Linked DNA regions of Callithrix jacchus. The protein of the gene in region 1 purifies or fractionates together with the protein of each later gene. This does not show direct contact. Links are inferred from orthologs where the notes say so. Each region holds a gene or a part of one and is shown on either strand. Other genes may lie near its edges.

The links. The genes of interacting proteins can lie anywhere in the genome.
Region 2: the proteins of SF3B6 (region 1) and SNRPD1 fractionate together in Homo sapiens (co-fractionation; 3 studies listed by BioGRID and IntAct, with this or other methods). This does not show direct contact. The link is inferred for Callithrix jacchus from reciprocal best matches to the Homo sapiens genes SF3B6 and SNRPD1.

Annotation. Positions count from the first base shown.
Region 1 is NC_133515.1:91,183,802-91,187,085, reverse strand, and holds the end of SF3B6 (splicing factor 3B subunit 6), read right to left. Parts: intron 1,163-3,284; coding exon 1,024-1,162; intron 857-1,023; coding exon 767-856; 3' UTR 587-766; downstream 1-586.
Region 2 is NC_133514.1:64,585,599-64,589,350, forward strand, and holds the start of SNRPD1 (small nuclear ribonucleoprotein Sm D1), read left to right. Parts: upstream 1-1,172; 5' UTR 1,173-1,269; coding exon 1,270-1,283; intron 1,284-3,752. UniProt on the Homo sapiens protein: Plays a role in pre-mRNA splicing as a core component of the spliceosomal U1, U2, U4 and U5 small nuclear ribonucleoproteins (snRNPs), the building blocks of the spliceosome.

The DNA.
Region 1 (3,284 bases):
GCTACATAAATACAATTTTAGACACATAACAACCAACACCACTATCCAAGCAGCTTGCTCTCAAACTTCTACCAATGTGACAACCATTATATACCCATAATAATTTTCAAAAAAATTTAGAGAGGCAAATCTAAGTTTCTAACAGTGTACTACCATCTAAATGACCATTTCTAGAATAGACCTCTGTTCTAAGACAAGGGTACCCATACTGACAAAGGTATTTTGTTAACTATAAAGCAAGCATCATTCAAATGTAAAGGCTTGGTTGCTATTACACCAGCTTTGTAGGTTAGCATTTTATTCATTCACCCAACATCATGAGCTTTGGTTTCCTCGCCTGCAAAATGCAAATACCTATCTTCACTGAGTTGTTATAAAGATCCATTATTAATAGACATTCAATAAACAGCAAGTTCCTTTGACGGCTAAGCACTGCACTGGACCCCGGAGGCATTAAGAATATAAAGAGGTCCTGTTTTCAAGAAACTCGGACTCCCTAGGAGCACCTACAATTCCTGATAAGCTTCAACTATTTTTTTCCTGGTATCAAACAGGGAGGGAAAGTTCAAAAGAAAAGACAGACGTGTTTCACAAAAAGCAACAGGTTTATTAATATCATGTATTCTGATATGTATCAAAGTTTCAAGGTCATTTTGAACCTAAAATAAGAAATCACAATATTTAGTATTAATTAAAAAGGAAAAAAAGGGAAAAGATGGTAGTTGTCATTCATGGTTTCAGTCCAAAATGAAAATGTAGAAAACATTTATTTTGGTGGATCTGTGTTGATGCCATACTTCTCCTTGAGAAGCTTCAACTGTTCCTCCTTCTTCTTTGTGTCCATCTTCTGAAATGCCTGGAAATGCAGTAAGCACCAAAGTTGAATTACCGATCTACAGCCAAATAAATTTCACCAATAGCATTAGCCAAAAAATAGTCACAGTAGACATATATCGTCACAGCACAGTTCTACACTAATTTTCAAATGAGATCACCATACAAGGAGAACTTGGCTATACTTACCCTGTTGGCATTATAGTACAAAACCACAAGGTATCTGTTACAAACATTGAATCCTGATAGGTGATCACATGCATTCTTGGCATCAAAGATGTCCTCATAGACCACATAAGCTGTTCCTCTAGTTTCAGGTGTGTTCCCCCTGGAGAGTTAAATCAAACTTAATTAAGATATACGTTTACCTGAGCATTGAGTTGAATAACAGAACTGTCTTTTAAACTGGTAACTGTCTTCTAAAGACAGTAAACTGAAATATGTTTTTAATTTAAATATTTTGAAACCAACCTGAAACCATAAGAGGAAATAAACACGCATAGATAACTAGATAAGCCTGTAATTTCTTGAATTCGGTAATTTTGTTTTTTGTTTTTATCTTAAGTAAAACATCTATAGGTCAAGCTTACTGCTATATCAGGAATACTAGGAACACAGCTACTACCCAGAACTCAGCTTCTTACCACCCTGTCTGGCACTACATTGCTTTTTTTTTGAGATGGAACCTCACTCTTGCCTAGGTTGGAGTGCAGTGGCATGATCCCAGCTCACTGCAACCTCTGCCTCTCAAGTTCAAGTGATTCTCATGCCTCCCAAGTAATTGGGACTCCAGGCATGTGCCACCATGTCCAGCTAATTTTTGTACTTTTAGTAGAGATAGGGTTTTGCCCTGTTCCCGGGCTGGTCTCGAACTCCTGACCTCAAGTGATTGAGCTGCCTCAGCCTCCCAAGGTGTTGAGATTACAGGCATGAGTCACCAAACCTGGTCTACATTCATTTTTAATACAACTCAATGCCTTTTTAATACAAACTCTAATGCATGATACAGCTGTATGGCTGGGGAGAAGGGCTAGGCTTCTGCAAAGATGGGAGTGGAAGTGTGCTTATAGATAGGGTTATCTGTGAGCAAGGGCAGAATGCTGGAAGGTGACTGGAAGTGGAAACTAGACCTTACTCATAGATATGGGGCTGCTGTTAGTGTAGGTATTCCTGGCCACTTCCTTCCTTCACTTCATCAGCTTCCTCTGAGAGAGGTAGAGAAGTGTGAGGAGCAACAGAACACTAAATTGTAGGCAGCAGCTGGCCATGTGATTGTCAGTGGGGACAATGGGTAGAGTTCCCACTCAGTTCATGCTCTGGATGACAAGATGGCCCCCTTGCCTCCATCTGTGTTCTGACCACCCAGTGCAACCGTGGAATGAGGTTTAAGATTGTTGGCTTTCCATCTGCCACAGTCCCTACATAGGGTTGAATAAAAGCAGTGGAGCCATGGGAAGTGGAGGCACATGCCTAGACTTGATCTAGGACAAGATTATAGTCCGGGCCCTGCTCAAGCTTCTGCTTCCTATAACATTGAAAAGGTGCAGGGTGCTGGGGGTGATTGGAGGGTGCCAGTGTCAATGAGTATGCTCACTTTGTCAGGTTACGTGGGCCTGATCTCGGGTTTTAGAATGTTCTTTAGGATCTGGGAAGTCTTAACAACTTTCAGACTTTTGACTTTTAAAAACTTAACAAGATTTTCAGTTCTTTAAGAGCAAAGGTGATCTTATGCCTACTTCATTTACTCCTATAGTGCCACACATAAGGCAGATGCTAATATGCCTTTGAAAGGTGGAGATCTACTTCCTATCAATTCTCTCACACATACTTTCTCCAGGAAGCTCAAAACAAAGCAACTCTCTTTCTTCCTCTTACATCTTCTTAGGAACCAGCATAGGGATAGATACTAACCCCACTTTAAAGACCCTCCATCTCAAGTGTCCCAGTCTTAATTATCAGCCTCACATCTTGAGAGCTGTATTATAATCTGAACATATATATATATATATATATATATATATATATATATATATATATATATATATATATTTTGAGATGGAGTCTTGCTCTGTCGCCCAGGCTGGAGTGTAAAGGCGCTATCTCGGCTCACTGCAACCTCCACCTCTTGGGTTCAAGTGATTCTCCTGCCTCAGCCTCCTGAGTAGCTGGGATTACAGGCACCCGCCACCATGCCTGGCTAATTTGTTTTATCTTTAGTAGAGACAGGGTTTCACCATGTTGGCCAGGCTGGTCTCAAACTCCTGACCTCATGATCTGCCTGCCTCGGCTTCCCAACATGCTGGGATTACAGGCATGAGCCACCGTGCCTGGCCAATTGGAACTTTTAAAAGCATGTATTTGTACCATGTATAGGGCACTGAGCTAACATTATTTTCTTATTTTTTTTAGATAATGTCAAGCAATTCTCATGCAAGTGTGTGCCACCATGC
Region 2 (3,752 bases), on another chromosome or scaffold:
TAGTGGCGAGGCTGAGGCACAGAATCGCTTGAACCCGGGAGATGGAGGTTGCAGTGAGCTGAGATCGCACTACTACATTCCAGGCTGGGCGACAGAGCAAGACTTCATCTCAAAAAAGTTAAAAAAAAATTTTTTTTGATGAGATGAGAAAGAAGAAGATTGAAAAGTTTCTCTTATAGATCAAAATTTAAAGTGAAAATAATCCTCTACATTGTGTGATTTTCCTTTCTATTTTGAGATGGAGTTCTCTGCTCCCAGGCTGGAGTGCAGTGGTATGATCTTGGTTCACTGCATCTCTGCCTCCTGGGTTCAAGCAATTCTCCTGCCTGAGCCTCCCGAGTAGCTGGGATTACAAGCGCGAGCCACCATGCCCAGCTAATTTTTTTATTTTTAGTACAGACGGAGTTTTACCATGTTGGCCAGGATGGTCTCGATCTCTTGACCTCGTGATCCACCCGCCTCAGCCTTCTAAAGTGCTGGGATTACAAGCATGAACCTGGCCCCCAGCCCATTGTGTGATTTTCTTCAGGTATGTTAAGTAATGCCAAAGACCTCCTGGTGTTGGAACAGAGTCAGTATAATCCTTCGAGTTTCTCTCAGAACTTCTTTTCGTTCAGTAAGGAATTTATATTAGGTGCTGTACACACGGTGCCCTGTTGTTCAGAAGCGTGATGGTGACAGTACTATTTTTTTTTGAGACGGAGTTTTGCTCTTGTTACCCAGGCTGGAGTGCAATCGCGCGATCTCGGCTCACTGAAACCACCACCTCCTGGGCTCAAGCGATTCTCCAGCCTCAGCCTCCAGGGTAGCTGGTATTACAGGCACGGGCCACCATGCCCAGCTAATCTTTTGAATTTTTAGTAGAGACGGAATTTCACCGTGTTGGCCAGGCTGGTCTTAAACTCATGACCTCAGGTGATCCACCCGCCTCGGCCTCCCAAAGTGCGACAATGCTATTAACTGGATTTATTCTCTTGGAATCTCCCTCTCTTGCAGGACATTTTTCCTCCTAGACAAGCCCTCGAGGCCCTCTGCCGTCTCAAGGCAACCTCCAGCCGCCAGGGGCCGTAGTCGCGCTCCTCGTGGCCGGAAGGGAGTGCGGCCCAGCGCAGCCTCGGCGTTTCCGCCGTGCGTCCTCAGTGCTCTGCGCGCTCTTTACGTCCGAAGGCCCTGGAGTAGACGCTTCCGGCCATTCATACTGCCGTCGATCAGTATTCGGTAATTGGATTTTGTGCGCTATCGGAACCAAAGGGTGACGGCGCTGCTAAGATGAAGCTTGTGAGGTGAGGGGGTGACCAAGTAGCTCTGGGGACTGTGAAGGGCGGGCTTGGCCCGGAGTCCGGAAGGCTGAGGTCTCCCAGTTGCAGGAGGCGGGAAAGCCGCGTGTGCGCGGCCTGCTAACGGCCGGCCTCCTGAGCCCTCCGCTCGTTCTCTGGCTTGGGCTTCCGCGTGGGTAGCGCAGGGATCCCGGGTGTTTTCCAAGAGATGGGTATAAAGGCCGAGCGCTTTCTTTCCGCCTAGTGATTTAGAGATTTTAGGTTGCGGCGCCGCCGGGGCGCAGGTCGCTCTTGTGGTTACTGATTTTCTTTTTGAGTGAAATTCCAGTCTCACTTAAGAGTACTTAGAAGCTGTGTGAGCTTATCTGGAAATAATTACACCTCTTTGCAGAACATTTTAAGTCGGAGAAGGACTTGTGGCTCCACAAGTTTTTGTTTTAGTTTTTTCTTTTTTTAAATAAAGACAGTGTCTCACTTCGTTGACCTGGTCTCGAACTCCTAGGCTCAAGCGTTGCGCCCGCCTCGGCCGCCTAAAGGGCTGATATTACAAGTGTGAGCAACCGCGCCCGGCTGGTTTTTATCTTTTGATACTCCTTAGACTTATGAATGATTATTCCACCTCAATTTCCGGTTAAGGTAGGCTTTTGATTTAGGAAAATATCCTATAGGGCAGAAACTATCATAACGTAATTGTGGCTGATTATCCAGATAATACATAGTTCTCCTGTTTTATTTCTTTCGAAATAAATAAACCTGGTCGGTTAGGTGAATGTACTGAAGACTTTTTACTGATGTGAATAATTACTACCTGCAAGTAGATTTGGTTTTAGTGTTTTTCCTTGAGACTGAACCTGGGACAGAGGCAGACGTTTCTCATGACTAAGCCAGCAATTATAAATATTTAGCTCGTTTCTCTCTTGTTGAGTCAAGGATTGTCAATGTCCGCTAAATAGTTTATGGGCACCTGTTATATACTAGGCGCTGGTAATAGAATTTTTTAAAAGGCAAAGTCCCTGCTTTGTTGGAGCTTTCTGATTAGTGGTGACTACAGAAAAGTAGATAACGTCTGAAATAACGTTTGTTAGTTCGAAACGTTTTAAATAACATGAACTGACCTTCAATATCAGGGAGGAGGCTGCCCGCGCCTGTAATCCCAGCATTTTGTGATGCTGAAACGGGTGGATCACCTCAGGTCAGCAGTTCGAGTCCAGCCTGACCAACATAGTGAAACCCTGTCTTTACTAAAAATGCAAAAACTAGCCGAGCAAAATGGCAGGCGCCTGTAATCCCAGCTACTTGGGAGGCTGAGGCAGGATAAGCACTTGAACCGGGCAGGCGGAGGTTGCATGAGATCACACCACTGCACTCCAGCCTGGGAGACTCCGTCTCCAAAAAAAAATTATATTCAGGGAGGAGTTGGTACGAAAGACATTTAAGGTTAATTTTTAGTGTATTTTTATTTGAACTATAATTTTGGATAAGAAGTCCTAGAATTAATTAGCTCAGGATGGTGACGCATGCCTATAGTCCCACCTACTCGGGAGGCTGAGGCAAAAGAATTGCTTGAACTCGGGAGGCGGAGGTTGCAGTGAACCGAGTTCGTGCCTCTTCACTTAAGCTTGATGACAGAGTGAGAGTCCATCTCCAAAAAAGTCCTAGAATTTAAAGTACATTTTTTAGGCTGAGGCAGGCGGATCACCTGACGTCAGGAATCCAAGACCAGCCTGGCCAACATGGTGCGATCCCTACTAAAAACACAAAAATTAGCTGGGCATGATGAGGCGCTCCTATAATCCCAGCTACTGAGGAGGCTGAGGCAGGAGAATCACTTGGAACTCGGGAGGCGGAGGTTGCAGTAAGCTGAGATCCCGCCACTTCTGTACTCCAGCCTGGGCGACACAGAGACTCTATCTCTGTGGTTTTTTGTTGTTGTTGTTGTTGTTTTTTGAAATTTCTCCATACCTGCCAAGCTGAATCGTAATCTACTCATAGTTCAATTTTATGTAATACAGGTTGGATCCCGTTTGTCCCATTTAAAGATACTGCATGTTAAGACAATTTTCCCGTAATTTTTAATACTTGTACTGAATCCTGTTTTGTGTCTTAGGTAAAATATAGAAACAGTTTTTTTTCTTACTGGAGACTGTATTTTTCCTGCAGAAAGTGATTGTTTGACTAGTTTGCATTTTCAGTAGACTTTTATTTCTGTATCTCCATTGGCGGTGTTATCCTTATCCTCACTGTCACCCTAACCAAAAACCTGGGAGGTGAGCTTGACTTTTTCTCTCCTGATGTTCTTGACATTTGATAAGTTGCTGAGTTTGCCAATGTTACCTACTTCATACACGTGTCCCACGTTATCCTATTTTGATTGGTTTTTGGGTTCAAATAGTGTGTTTTGATACTGAGGGACACTATTATCTGACTATTTTATATCTAAGTTTCTCTAAGTAAAAATAATTCAGATATTAAAAG